Stegostoma tigrinum: one gene and its partner. The protein of the gene in region 2 purifies or fractionates together with the protein of the main gene of each other region. This does not show direct contact. Links are inferred from orthologs where the notes say so. Each region holds a gene or a part of one and is shown on either strand. Other genes may lie near its edges.

Region 1 (7,743 bases), on a different chromosome or scaffold from region 2:
GGAGTCAATCGGCCCAAAAGATTAACTCTGAATTCTCTCCACAGATGCTGCCAGACCTGCTGAGCTTTACCAGCAATTTTTATTATTGTCTCATAAATCTGGTAACATTTGGTATACTCCTAAGAAATAGTATTCTCCTAAGAACCCGCGTCAACTACTTAGTTTAAAGTCTCCATATAGCACCAGTCTGATTTTTCTCTTTTGAAACTCAGGTAGACTCACTCATGCGAACAGGATATAATACATTTTAAAAGAACAAAGCAGCTAGAAATACCTTAAACTAAATAAACTGCACAGCATATTGATGAACAATATCATCAGATATTCATATACAAGTTGAAGAAACTCACTGCCTAAAAGTGAGGCTCAGTCAGAAACTCTCGTTAGCACTTAAGCAGTATTTAGATATTGACTTATGGTGCCATAGCCTTCGGGGCAATGAGCCAAGAACGTAGTTAGACCACTGTTGACTGCTGCAGGCACAATCAGCTGAATGGCCTCCTTCCGTGCTGGAAGCATCCATGAGTTTATCAGAATTGAAGAATTTTCACCTCACCTCAGATTTCAGGTATAAGAAAAGGAAGAAAAATTGAACATTTATGCTAAGTTAGGCTTACAAACAATTTCTATGAATGAAGATCTTTAACGCCTTATTTGTCATGACAGAATTAAAACTGCAACTGCCCATTTTAATTCTTAAAAACTTCATTTTCTTGCTCCAACTCATGTATAGACACCATATTCCTCTCACCCACCACTTGAGATAAATACAGGGTGTCAATCTTTTGCATTAAGCAGAAAACCTAAGAGCCAGATAGCTCTGGGATTAGAGGATTTAAAGTGGTAGGGAAAAGGCTCAAGCGGAGATAAATGCAGAACAAATTAGTTGGACTCAGTGGAATAGCATATGCTTGTAGTATATTCTGTGAACAACGACAATAAATTGAATCCTCTTTCAGTCAGGCCGGGAGATTGTGTTGCTGGAAGTAACTGGGATGAATTTTACACAAATAATTTGCATTACGTAACTCCCAATCTAGAGACACAGAGAGCCTATTTATAAGCAGTCACCCCCCACATCTCCCTGTACACAGTTAAGTACATTAATGGAATGTGCAATAATATCAACATTTCAGTCACTGAGCTAAAAGTCTCTAATTCTAATGGTGGGTTTCATCTATTCGGTCAGTAACTGACCTCATGTAATTGAATCAATGTCAAATGCTGTTATGTCAATTGCAAGCTGCCTCCAGGAAGGCTGGGCTGTGTGCAATTCAGATTCTGATTTTAACTCCAACGTTTTTCTCTTTCCTCTCAAGACATTAAAAAAAATAGTGAAAATGGTCTTAGTGTGTCAGTTCGAAGCTTGATGGGTCTTGTAGTTTTAGTCCACAAGATGTGTCAAACAAGAATAAAATTACAAACAGAATCTCCTGAACACAGCAGGAAGATTTTCTTCCCTAGAATCATGTAGTGACTGACGGAGAGTTACATAATGCAAATTATCTGAGTAAAATGCATCCCAGATACATTTAACATCATAACCTCCCAGCCTGACTGACAGGGGATTCCATTCATCGTCACCGAGGCCAGGATTTATGATGTCATGATCTGCTGCTTAAAACAAAACGTAATATGTCTTGATGAATTCTGAAAGCAATGATAACCTTGCCTAACAATTCTCTTAGAGATGGAGAGCCCAAATGATGCACAGGTTTGCTGGCCTACATTTTTTCTTAATGTTGGGAGCTCATGAATGACAACATGCAAAGATCCTGAGTTAGATGCTCAAAAGGCATTAGAAACACAAAGGGTGAGTAAAAATGGCACTTCAACCTGAAAAATCAGAATGAGAATGCAAGTGCATATGACTAGAGACAATATACACACATTGCAAATGGGGTTGATAAATGTTCATCTTTGACATTGTTAATGCTGCATATTCCATTGAAAGAGTTTGGAAAGAACGTCTCTACTTGAGAAAAAAAAGTGTTTTTTGTTTGTGTTCCTGAAAAATAGTGGGTTACTGTTAACAAATGCGACGTGTTTCCTCTCGCTGCATCACTACACAGACACGCAGGAAGCAAGCTAAGAATCCATAAAATAATACACAAAGATCTTCCGATTACCCTAATGTTCCCCATCCCTCCCCATTGTTGTCTCTCTAAACCCTTCCCCATTCACACAGCTCCCTGAACGCTAAACCCACCTCCTCCTGACAGCCCTACCCAGTTCCTTGACCCTCTACTCATCCCAAACTCCCCGATCCCTAGCTCTCCTCCCCACCAGCAACCTCCTCCCCCCCCCCCCCGCCTTGCTGCTACCCCTCCCCTCCCTACCCCTTTCCCTCCCGGTGCCCCCTCCCTCCCCACCCCTTTCCCTCCCGGTGCCCCCTCCCTCCCCCAGCAACAGTACCTGGTATTTGGGCGCGTTATTACACTGCGGGAAGCTGCCGGCCGCCTCGCCGCTGTGCAGCAGGTTGTTGTCCACCAGGTTCCAGCCCCAGCTCTGGTCGTCGCTGCCCAGCAGGGCGACGTAGCCCTGGCACTGGAGGGGGGCGCGGCGGGTGGCCACACCGATGACAGCCACGGTGCCCAGGGGTCCCTCCCACCAGATCTCCCAGGCGTGGCGGCCCTCGCTGAAGCCGATGTGGGCCCGGGCACCGTCCGTGCTCTGGGCGATGGGGTTGCGGTGCAGGGTGAAGCCGTTGCGCTTGATGTAGACGTTGCGGGAGCAGTCGGCCGAGCTCCAGGCGTGTCGCAGGGCCCGGGCCTTGGCCTTGTAGCTGCTCAGGTTACACAGGATGTCCGAGCTCAGCGCCTCCTCGCTCAGCAGCCGCTGGCACACGCTCCTCCAAACCTCGCTGTTCTCGTCCGCCTCCAGGCAGCGGTTCCAGTGGCGGCAAACCAGCGAGCAGCTCAATAGCTCGGGCAGCTCCAGGTAGGAGAAGAGCAGCTCCAACACCCGGGCCGGCAGCTTCCCGGCCGCCATCTTCCCCCGCCCCCCCGCCGGCGGGGGAGCACGCGCGGCCCCGACAACGTCCAACGTGTCCTGCGTGCGCGCCACCCCTCGCGGCAGCAAGGCCCGCGACCACGCAGGGCTGTGATGTCATGACGCACCACCGGGAACGTGCCCGCCCCACACACGTCGCGGCCGGGACCCCGCCCGCTGGCCCACGTGACCCTTCCCCCCTCTACACGGCCACGATCGGAACAATGAACAGGAGAATCACAAACCCGGAAGCGACCCTAACAAAACAAAATGCAAGTGCTGGAGAAAACTTCAGCAGGTCTGGCAACAGAGTTAATGTTTCCAGGCCAAAAAAAACCCCTGCAGATGCTGGAAACCATGGTGGACAAACGGGAAGCTGGAAGAACACAGCAAGCTAGGCTGCATCTGGAGGAACGGAAAAGTCAACGTTTCGGTCCCGAAGAAGAGTGATACTCAAAACGTTGACTTCTCCTTTCCTGTCTGGTATGAATCTTCATCAGGACTAATACCAACTAGGAAAAAGTGATGTTTGTGGTGAAGACAGATTGCGGGGGTGGTGAGAGGATGGATGGCGAACAAGCCCACACAGAGAGATATGAAAGAGGTAGGCCGGCTAGGGGTTATTGATAGTAAGCCAGGACAGAAGAGAAGCGGAATAAGTGACAATGAGTAGAAGAGAATGAGTAGGCCGTGGTGAAAGCAACCTATGTCATGACAGAACAATGATGTGGCGATGAATAGGAAACATAGAAGGATTGAATCAAGTTTTAAAGTTATTTAAATTGCTGTTGAGTCTAGAGGTTACGGGGACCTCGAGTGAAAGATGAGATGCTGTTCTTCGAGCTTGCACTGAGACTCACAGGAGCACTGCAGCAGACCTGTGACGAAAATGTCAGCCAGGTAACATGATGGTGTGGTGAAGTGGCAGGCAACTGGAAACTTGGGAGTCATTTTTACGGACAGAGTACAAAGTGGTCATGCTGTCTGCATTGCATCTCCCTGGTGTGGAGCAGATGAAAGTGTTAACTACAAATACAGTAGCCTGGATTAAATGAAGCACGGGCAAATCACCACTTCACCTGCAAGGCACATCTGGAGCCTTGGATTGTGAGGAAAGAGGAGTAAATGGGCAGGTTTTACACCTTCTGAGATTCTATAGGAAGGCGCTGTGGGAGTGATGGCACTGGAGAAGGTGTAGACTAAGGGTTCTTACAGAATGCTGACAAAGGAGGGGAGGAGAATGTGTGTCTGGTCATGGTAACCCATGCAGGTGACTGAAGTTGCAGCTTACGATTTGCTGGGGTCCCTGCAGCTCTAGAACTCAACATCGAGTTCAATAACTTTACAGCCTGATTATGTCCTTCCATGCCCCTTTTCCTACATCCCCACACTCTGGTCCTGTCATTGACAATGGATTGCTGTCAGTACAGCCTACCCATTCTCTCCTACTATTATCCTTTATTCAGCTTCTCTTCTGTCCTGGCTTACTATCAATAATCCCCTTGTTTGCCTACTCCTTTCGTCTCTCTATCCCCGGACTCCATCTCCATCTAGCCACTCGTCTCTCATCCTATCCCACCTTCACCATTTTGACACCAGGCAAACTCATGTTCCACCCCTGACCAACACTGCCAACCAACTCCATCGGATCTGACCCATCATGGTGTCCCCCAATCCCAAATCAAAATTTCAATCAATTTTGAAATATTACCACCATTGGGGAAGTGCACCAAAGATTCACAAGACTTGTTTCCGATAGTGGGACTGTCCTACGAAGACAGATGGGGGCAAAGTCAGCCTGTATTGTGTAGAGTTGAAGAATGAGAGGTGATCTAATTGAAATCTGCAAAACACCTAAAGGATTGACACGGTAGGCACAAGTAACACGTTTCCCATAGCTGGAGAGTCTAGAACCAGGGGCACAATTTAAAAATAATGGGAATGTCACATAGGAAAGTGATAGGCGCAACTTTTATTTATTAAGGGTGGTGTAGTTTTGGAATTCTCTACTCCAAATATTTGGGCTTTGTCTTTGAGTATCTTTCAGGTAAAGATTGATTTCTGATTATCAATGGTATAAAGGATAATAGGGTTGGGTGTGTGGAAAAACAAAGAGTTCAACCAACCATGCTTGCACTAAATGGGAAGGCAGGCTTGATGGACTGAATGGCCTACTCCTGTTCCGATTTTCACTGCAGCATTCAAAGTGTCTACTGGACATTTAAACTTAAGAATATGGAACTCAGTGCCGTCAAAGGATGATCTTTTTTAATATTGCACTCAAGCATTCCTGGATAGGTTCATAACAACCTCCTAATGTGGCCTTTTATCCTTGAGGTTACAGATAGTGCTTCGACATAATTCTGTTGCTGCTGATGGCCCACAGCACCTTATGAATTACTAGTTTCAAGTTTGCTGGATCTGTTTGAAATCTATCCTAGTCAGCACGGTGCTGGTATCATATAACACAATGGAGTGTTAGCCTCAGGTTGAAGATAGAACTTCATCTTTGCTCAGATTGTGCAGTGGTCATGACCAATATTCATGGACAAATGCATCTACGACAGGTAGAATTTTGAGGATGGGGTCAAATAAATTTTCCCTTTGCAATTGCTTTGAGGATAAATGAAGGTGAGGTGTTGCATTGTTAATTTTGGGAAGATGCTTTATTGTACAACAAGTAAAACATTCAGAACATGAAATATGATTAAAGTCAATTGATATAATCAATCTGTGTATTGTTGCAAAATTAACATCCATGCCTACAACAGACCACTTGAGGGACTTGTATTTAACCTAGAGAAGTGCAGGTATTCCACAATCTGACCTACTGACATGCAGAGGTTATTGCTCTCCCAGACACCACCACTGCCTCAACCTCTTTCAAACCCAGTACACTGACCAACTGATGTACAAGCATTGATTTTAACTCTTGCAGCAAGCTGATGATAACCCTGCACATATGAGTAACAGCCTGAGCAATTTTTATCCTCCAGGCTGATTTGCCATTTCCTGTAAAAAGCAGCATTTGATTGATAAGCAAGAATGCTGGGATCAGAAGAAGGCTAACAGTAACAAGGGCAAGGCTGAACAGGGAGCACTGCCACGAATATGGTGTTTGGGGAGGTGGGGGTGTGTGTGCAGGACAGTCCAGGCCAACAGAGGTCCCAGGAGACAAACCAAGGGAAGAAGCCCGAACTGTTACAAAGCTGTGTCCCTGGCCCTGTCGAGGAGTCAACTGCGGGGTCCAGAGATAAGGACATGGGTGGAAATGCTCACTGACTAATCATACCTGCCAGGCCTGAGATAAGGACAGTGTAGCACACCCCCAAAAGCTGTCAGTCCTTTTTTTTAATGAAATGCAACAGACTGTAAAATGGGTGCTCAACTTCAGTGACAAAAATGTCACTGTACTTACCCCCCCAGCAATCTCTGCCCTGTCAGGATTTTTCTCAAAACTGTGGATCTCCTCTATCTGACTTTTATATATCATTGATCACTTAATAATTCACAGAGTTAAACAGAACAAACAGCAGTGATGATCACCCATAATACCAAAAGCTGCTGAAAAATCAGCACAAGCTTGGAAAGACTAGAATTACAATATTTCAGTTGGGACTCTTGTCTGAACTTCGGTTTTAGATTTCCACTATTCAGTTTTGCTTACTCTGGTAATTCACACATAACATTGTAAGCAGATGCCACATAAAACCAGGTTTTATTTCTGTTGAATCCTCCTTCCTCCTATCTTGCTTGGTAACAATGTTCTCGAATGTTCACAATATAATTTCACAGCGATCTGGGCAGGGAATGTCAGCTCATCCCTCAGGTACTTCCCAGGTGTCTGCAGTGGAGATTAAAGACTCAGCACTCTGCTCTGAATCTCACTTACACTCCTGGGATGAAATTGTCCAGTCTTTTGACTATGAAAATTCTGTGTGATCCTTGTGCAGACTCAATCAGGTTGTAGCAGACATGGGTCCACTGGCAAAACGTGGTGGTGGTGCCTGGTCACCTCCAAGAGGCTGCTGTATTTAAAAGGGGTGGGGCTTGATAGCTAATTGTTGGCCTTGCCTCACTGGGCAGCACTCACCTTGGATCACAACGTGATGGGTTCAAGTCTCAGTTGAGCAACCTGGTGCCAGTGTAGTGTTGAGGGAATGCACTGTTACTGAAGTCTCATCTATTCTCTGGAGTGAACGTAAATTCTGAAGAACAGCAAGACAGCTTTCCCATGGTGAATCAAAATCTGAAACAGTTTATCCGGTCATGATCACACTGATATTTGTGGGAACTCGATGGAGAGAAATTCATTGCCATGTTTCTGTATGACAATAGTTTGTAGTTTGGAAGAAATTCATTGACTAAGAAGTGTTTCAGTTCATCCAGAAGGTGCTAGATAGATCCACATTCTAATTTTTTTCTAACAGAAGTGCAACTTGGATCTGGCATGATCAAATGCTCGATAATAACTTTAATGTAAGATCTTCTTCTTCTTCAGCTACAATAGTCTCCATCAGGATGAGCACAGGTTAGCAGAAGTAAAAATTGAAAACTTGCAGTCAGGTCTCCCAATAAAACCTCTGCTCTCATCAGTGACTTGACCAAGTGAAGGATGGCAAGGTTTTATAGGGATTTAAAATTCCCTTTGGATCCAGAATCGCTTTCATCTGCTGCATCAAGTCCACTGCTTCCTTGGGCTTACTGAAATAGATGCAGTTCTTCTTTTTGAAGCCAAGTCCATGCTCAGCA
Region 2 (8,192 bases):
ATAAACATGCTACTGCTATTTTTTTCTTTTAGTTCATGCGGTAATATTTTACATCTGACTTTCCATTTTTACTTCATTACATTTGATTCAAACAGTGGAAAGCATGTTTTCCTAAAATAGCACTGCAGCATATATTCTTTGAATTATTCCAGGTGCAAAGCATTATTTTTAAATTATTTATAAACACAAGCCAGCTCAGATCACTTCTGCTCTCTTGTCCATTATAACATCAATTACATCCCCTGAACACTGTTCACTTTTAATTTCCAAAGAATGAAGTATTGGTTTTCTTCTAAACGCTACCTGCTTTAATTGTTTGTTCTAAGCTCTCAAATTATCATCATAAACATTCATGTCATTTTAATTAATTTAATGACTCTCATGTTCCCTTATGAAATATATTAGGTAAAACAAGAAATTAATTTCTCCTTTCAAAGGTGTTTTACTTTTCATTTTTCAACTAAATTCTACAATATAAGTAATCAATTGTATTGCATTCAGACAAAAACATTTTAACCAAGGCTCTGTCATGAAATGTACATTTATTACTATGGAATTACAATAAAGACATTTGTCCTGTGATTACAATGTGTGTGTCAGTCTCAATAATACTTTTCAGCTATAATGCAAGAGTTCCTCAGACCTATTCCTTCTAGTTTTGAACTAACCCAATCCATGGCAGGTTTCATTTGTGTTCTCTTACAAATGCTGTAATCATCTAAACATATACCAATTAGTAACAAAGGCACTTTTATCTTGGCTGATTTGCATCAGCACATTTTCATTGAAAAGGCTTTAACTTTAAGCTACACAGAAATGTTAACATACACAATAGCAAAACAAATAAACCAGCTAAAATGTATTTAAAAAATCTTAAATTTTATGGCTCCAATCTCAGGTCCTTCTATACAGACCTTTAATAATGCTCTATTATCTGTATCCTATCACAGATCATTTCAAAAATTAAACCAAATAAACTGGGTCTGAAATATTTCACACAAGCCTGTCAGGTCTGTAAACAACCTGCCTGGAATGTAATAACAAATCCATTCTGCCTCAGTGCATGTACGCAAAATGCATCAGTACATTATGTACAACACAAACATTAACTGTGCATCTCTCTGCAATCCAGATGGTCTTTCATTACCAGTAATTACCAGTAATACTTTATTTCTGCAGTTTTGCATAGTATCGGGATTGCCTATCTGGTATGTTGCAGACTCGGAAATGCTCTCAAAATTCAAATTATAAGCTCTCATAGAATAATAAGAAAAAAAACTTTGATTCTAAATCTACTAAAAATGTACAAACATCATCATCTTAACTGGAGACATTCACCTATAGGAGGCCCAGATACTTAATTATCTTGTTGACACGTTATTAATTACTGTCCATTGCTTTACTGTGACTGCATGGATAATATCAAGCAGCCATTTTATCATGGTCTCTCCTAAAGGCTGTCTTTTTTGTGCAATGCCTATTAAACACTAAAGGTCATCCTGGATTCGGCTTCTGATCACTGATGCTGCATTGAAAGTGCATTACTAGACATGGAACAACACCGGCAAGTAAGGTATTCGGGGCATGTCTTGCTCGAAGAAGGAGGCAGATACAAACGGTTAGAATACGAGCAGCGGCGATTAATGCCTGTGCATGAATAAGATTTACATATTCCATGCTTGAACAAAAAAGGGAACCAGTTAGTATCGCGGCTCAGCAATATCAGGGTGACTGAGTTTCTCTGTGTGTACAATTAAGCCACCGTGAGGTTGCAGCCTGGCAACTCGGCAGTTCACTGGAAATTTCCACTTCTCCCAAAGTGCCTGTGATTGCCTGTGCTGTCCTCGGCACCCGCCACTCCATCCGTCAAAACTTCCAAATACCTGCCATCAGGCAGCTCCCCTATTCCTACCCTCACACTGACCATCCATCCCCTCACCGCCTTCTCCAGTTTGAGAAACCGCTAAAACAGCTCGTCATCCAACTGCAGCAATCCAGTTGCTTTAAAAACAAACGGCAACAATCTTCCATCCTACCTTTAACACAGCATTAAAAACTAAGAACGCTACAAGTCCTTACTGATTCTGTGCGCGCCGAAACATTCACTATGTTTAATAAAAGAGCGCATCAAAATACTGTGTATGGGCAAAAATAAAACACAATCAAGTTTTTAGGTTGTACACCATCTCCAACTCCCGGGTACCAATAGTTTCAAAAGGACTCCGCGCAACAACTCCCCTATTTATTAGGTGTTTCTTTCTCCTTACATCCATTTCACAGCACTCAGGCCGCTGCGACTCCTTGCCAAATCATCCAATTAGACCCAAAGTGCCGTTGGACCTACGAGGATGGACTTTTCACACAATACATACAACCGATCGACACAAAAAAAGTGGGGCAAAGGAATCCAGCCTTCCTCTGCTTCTAAATAATCCGGTAAATCTACATAAATAAATTGTTGGAGATGGCAAGTGTGGTGGTAAGGGTTATAAAACAAAAACACGGGTATCCTGCAGGAAACAGACACGTGCGCTGGTACTAATGTTCACCGCCAAAACCGAGACTGTCTTCCACCAGGGCGTGAGCAGGGTCAGGGTCATTTGGAAACAAGATAAACAGGAAAAGTTTCAGCATCGTTTGGAAATGTTGTGATGTTGCAGTTAGCTCGCTGGACTGGGCTGGGAGTGCTGCAGGCTTTTCCCGGCTGTGTCTTTCAGCACCACATGCCTTGGACAGCGAACAAAGGGAAAGCAGCTGGCTGAAACCAGGGCAAACTCTTCCCACATTCACTTTCCATCGTCCTCCTCATTTCAAGAGGATTTTGGTCAGACGCAGGTTTCTGTTTTCAGTGAATGGATTAAGCGATTCATTGGGAGCGACGTGCAGAGACATTCTCGTCGTAAGACGAAGCAGCAGCACCGGTTGGCGATGGGTGGGTTACTTACCAAACATCTGAATGTGTCCTTTGGTGATGGGGTTGAAGCTCCCGCAGGCCAGCAGGATAACGTGGGTTTTAGTGGGCTCGGCCATGCTCACTGCCTGCCTGCCTGTCTGTCGGTCTGGCTGGTGTCTGCAGTGTCTGCAGGCGCCGCTCCCACTGTTTGCCAGCTCCGGCTGCCTCACTGCTCACGCTTACTGCGTCACCCATTGATCCGGAGGCAGCGCTTCCCCCTTTTATTTCTTTGCTTGTTGTCCCCGTTCGCCTGCTGAGTTTCACCACCCTCTATTTCTCTCACTTTATAAAGCCCCACTTTATACCCGCGCGGGGGTGTGAATTATAGTGATTATGTTGTGCTGCTAGGATCTGAGGGCTTTTTTCCCCCTCTATAGAAAGGTTCAAAACATAACTGCCTATAGTCCCCCTCTCTATTCCACAACCTTGCACCTCTACCTCCTCGGGATTAGAATTCCGCTTGAGGCGTGACCATTCTGTTTGTCTGAATCCGATTTCCCTTCAGTCTGGCCTGCAGCGGCACAAATCCCAGATTTCACGTTGCTGCTGTTCCAGGTCAAACCGAAAACCGAAAATGAGCAAGATGCAATTTCAGAGTCAACTTTGTCACAACTCTGTTCCATTCATTACCATTTCGACATCTTGGTCATGGTAACCTGTACACGTGCAAATGGATTGGCCGGCAGGTGGATTTTTTCACACCCAGAGGGTGGGGATGTCTGTAACCCACTACCCTGAAACGGGATAATGTCAGAATCCCTCAACATATTTAAACAAGTTGGATAATCACTACTCAACCCACAGTGCCCTGGACCAAGAACTGAAAAGTGGCATAACGATGGATAGCTTTTCTTTGGCTGCCATTGCGATGATGGGCCATAAATGTTCAATTTTCTATGTGTGACAACATTTACTAGAATGGTACCAGGAATCAAGAACCTCTGAAAAACTAGACAAGCCGCTATTAGGATTATTTTGAGTCATTTACGAGAGGAACTTGTTGGCTGGCCTGCTATAATAGTGCTCTTAACAGAACATTCCAGTCAGTTTCACTGCTGGACTTGATCCCCATAGCCCCACAAGTTAATTTTCTTGAAGAATCTATCCAATTTATTTTTGAAAACTCTGAGAGAAATAAAAATCCTCCCCATCTCTGTCTTAAACAAGCAATTTCAAACACTGAGATTATACCCTTTGGTCCTAGACTCTCCCACAGTGGGGAGCAACTTCTCCATGTCTACTCTGTCAAGCTTCCCTTAGAATCATATATTTTTCAAAACATTCTCCTTTCATTCTTCTAAACTCCTTTGAATAGAAGGCCAAACTACTCAACCTCTCCTCATTAGAAAATCCTTCCATATCTGGGATCAACTGCTGGAATACCTTCAATACCAGTATATCTTTTCTTAGAAAAGGAAGCCAAAACTGTAAACAATATTCCAGCTGCGGTCTGACTAGTGCCTTGTAGAGTTTTAGCAAAACCTCCCCATTTCTAAACCCCATGCCCTATGAAATAGAGGCAATGTTTCACTTTCCTTCCCTATTACCTGCTGATCTTGGCTGCTAGCTTCTTGTAATTCATGCACTAGGACTCCCAAATCCCTCTGCACTTCAGCTCTCTGTAATCTTTCCCCACTTAAATAATACTCAAGTTTCCCATTCTTCCTTCCAAAGTGAATAACCTCACAGTTTCCAACCTTATATTGCATCTGCCAATGTTTTGCCCAATCACTTAACCTGTCAATGTCTGTCGACTCCTCGTGACATCTAACCACTTGCCTTCCCACCTATTTTTCCGTCATCTGCAAACTTTGCTATGGTGCATTAACTTCCACGTCCAAGCCATTGATATAAGTTCTAAGTATTTCTGTTCCCAGCACCGATCCCTGTGGTTATTCTCTATTTACAGGCTGCTATCTTGAAAATGTCCCTTTTCTCCTAACTCTGTCTTCTGATAGTTAGCTATACCTCTACCCATGGCAATACACTACCTCAACAACCATGGGCTTTTTTCTTATTAAGTTATCTTGTGTGCAGTACCTTATCAAATATATTTTGGAAATCAAAGTATATTGTATTTCATAGTTCACTTTTATCTACCCTGTTACCTTCTGAAATGACTGTAATAAATTTGTCAAGTATGACTTCCCCTTCATGAGACCATACTGCTTCTTCTTGATTATAATGTGTTTCTAAATTCTCTGCTGTTAATTCCTTTATAATAGATTTTAAGATAACGGGTCTACCAATAACCGCTTTTTCTCTCTCCCATGTTAAATAAGGGCATTACAATGACAGACTTTCAGTCATCTGGGACTTTTCCAGAGTCTCTGGATTTTTGAAAGATTACTATCATGCATCTACCGTCTCTGTAGCTGCATTAGGGATGTTCTGCTTGAAGAGAAGGTTGAGAGGAGATCTGAACAAGGTATTCAAAATCGCGATAGGCACAGAAAAAATAGATTGGGAAAATCTCTTCCCACCTTTGGAAGGATGGAGAATAAGATTGCATCAGATCTAAGATAATTGGCAAAAAAAACTCGACAGACCAAAGGAGAACCTTTCAAACAACATGAGATTAAAATCTGAAATGCACTAATTGAGAGATTAGTGGAACTAGATTCAGTCGAAAAGTTAGAGGAAATTGATTATATGAAATGGATGAATATGCAGGGTTATATGAAAATAGCAAGGGAGTGGCATCTCTCATTCAGAGAGTCAGCACACACACACCACGACGAATGGCCTCCATGCAGTAACAATTTTGTGGTACGGTAATTTCATTTCTATTTCTATTGTTTAGGTCTAAATGGAGGAAATCGTATACGTTATTGTAAACTGGGGAGATTAATTTGAATAAGGTTGAATAAGGTTTCACCTGGACGTTAACAGCTACTAAAATACTAGTCAGTCTAAGGGGGCTTACTGCAATCGTTTTGAGAAAGTCCACGTTTTTATTATATAAAACACTGCAATATATTATTGGCAACAATCAGTTAATTATACTGCACCTAACTAATTGCTTCAACATTTCGCAGGCAAAAAAACCTTAAGACCTCAATCAACTGCGCAAGTGCATGATGAAATTTAACCAATTCCCCACAAGGCAATGCAGCCGGGGAGAGTTTCATATCAATCTTATGTTTGACGTTCAGGATTTTTTAAATGTATAACAAAGAGAGCATTTAAAATAGCATAATTCGTAGTAAACAACTCGTATGTAGTTGTGTTGCTCCTATGATTAGAAAATCAATAATCTACCCAGAAACAATTTACGTTTTAAACAATGAACGTACTAGAATAAATATGCGACAATACCTCTAAAACATGTTTCATTTTAAAGGCATATGGGGCAGTTTAAAGTGCATATTTCCAATCATGTTTAAATAAATTTTTTTCAATCTGGACGGGAGTCTTGTCGGAAACATTGCATATTCTAACATGACAGAGTATCATTTTCTTTCATTCCTTTGCATCATTCTGTAATATTTAAATTTAACCATGCAGCGAGTAAATAAAGAAATTAGACATTTTAGAGGTTGAGAATCCAGGATACATGAGGAAGGAGGTGCTAATAATTAAAGACAAATTACAGTGCAGTGGTTCAGTGGTTAGCACAGCTGCCTCCCAGCCTTCTGCAACAGTGTGTGTGGAGTTTGCACATTCTAGATGTGCAGTCTAGGTGGATTTGCCAGTTAGCTGAGTTGCAGGGAAAGGTAGGGGTGTGGGTCTGTGTGGGATACTGTTTGGAGGGGTGGTGTAGACTTGATGGACCGAAAGGCTTGTTTTCACATTGTAGGGAAGCAGTCATTCTAAAATAATTTATCAAAGAAAATTGATGGGACAATCAAAATCCATTGCCTGCCGTTCCATTTAGGAACTCCAGGAAGTGATGGGTCCTGGAAATGATTCAGGAAATGCCTCCATTTGTTCAACTTTGGCTGCAGAGTTTCCAAACTTGAGGTACAGCTGGTGTGTACTTGCTTCTCCTCCAATAGTAGATTCTCCCATCTTCACTGCTTCTCCAGTCAGATCCCCTGTCTCCCATTCTTCCTGCACCTCCAATCACAGGTTCTCCTGCAGTCGCTGATGTTCTGCACCTCAAGCTAAGCCTCTACTCCAGTTACAGCCGATGTTCTCCCATTTTCTCCAGACGCTTGCATTTTTGCCATTTGAAAACCCCATTCTTGCTTCAGCTCTCAATTATGAATGGTTTCCTCAATAATGTGTGGTACATTTCCAGATTGTTGTACGTCCATGGATATGAGAAGCATAGAGGAAACTTTGCTGGGGCTCTGATACAGTGGAAATAAAAGAAACCTAATGAATTGGTTACATTGGAATTCAGCAAAGATGGGACAGGGCGAAAAAGAGAGTGGTAGCAATGTTGAACAAGTGAATGATTAAAGCACTGGAGGGGGTGTTGTTGAAGCCTAAGACAGGGTCTTTTGGTTAGCACTGAAGAAAATTATAAAAGTGATTGCACTTTCTGAAATATACTATACACCATCAAATGATGGAATGAAGTTAGAGCAGTAAGTTTACAGTCAAGTAACAGAGATGCAAATTATAAAACAGATATGCAGATTTCAATTAGTCCAATTTACATTTCAATACATAATGGTGGCAAAATGAAAGAAGACATTCTGAAGTGTGTCGAAGAGAACTGCCAAGCCAAAGAGGAAGAAATATTCCCATGGATCGAGGGCAAATATAAAGTGGAACAAGTGGACTATGTTTCAGTGAGAGCATATTGTGGGAATTGCGGTTGTAATAGCATCAAATTATGAATAAGTATGGAAATGCATCATGGTTCCAGCAAATTATGTTTAAAAATCTGTTTCAGTAGAGATGAGAAATAATGAAGGCAAGAAGTTATATGAGGGAATGATTTATAGGCACTCTGACAGTAACTACACTGTAGGCCGAGGGTCTCAGGAATAAATACTGGGAGCCTGTGAGAAATATCTGGCAATATCTGCAGTGATTTTAATCTACAAATAAATTTGATGAATCAGATTTGCGAAGGCAGCCTGAAAAATGAGTTTGTGGAGTGTTTTCAGGACAATTTCTTAGAGCAGCATGTTCTAGTGTTACAACCCAGTGTAACCTAGTGGAGAGCACTGAATCAGCTCCCCCCTTTTAAATCCTCTTTGGTTTGTCACAAAACAAATGTTTAACTCTTTTTAGCAGCAGCAGCCAAATCATACATCAATTAATCATAGTACTAGCTCACAAT

The links.
Region 1: the proteins of nmnat2 (region 2) and fbxo45 purify together in Homo sapiens (co-immunoprecipitation; 3 studies listed by BioGRID and IntAct, with this or other methods). This does not show direct contact. The link is inferred for Stegostoma tigrinum from reciprocal best matches to the Homo sapiens genes NMNAT2 and FBXO45.

Annotation. Positions count from the first base shown.
Region 1 is NC_081367.1:5,059,192-5,066,934, forward strand, and holds the start of fbxo45 (F-box/SPRY domain-containing protein 1), read right to left. Parts: upstream 3,035-7,743; 5' UTR 2,992-3,034; coding exon 2,416-2,991; intron 1-2,415. Other genes in the region: d2hgdh (D-2-hydroxyglutarate dehydrogenase, mitochondrial), read right to left, coding at 7,584-7,743. UniProt on the Homo sapiens protein: Component of E3 ubiquitin ligase complex consisting of FBXO45, MYCBP2 and SKP1. Functions in substrate recognition but also plays an important role in assembly of the complex.
Region 2 is NC_081361.1:45,721,207-45,729,398, forward strand, and holds the start of nmnat2 (nicotinamide/nicotinic acid mononucleotide adenylyltransferase 2), read right to left. Parts: upstream 3,154-8,192; 5' UTR 3,031-3,153; coding exon 2,946-3,030; intron 1-2,945.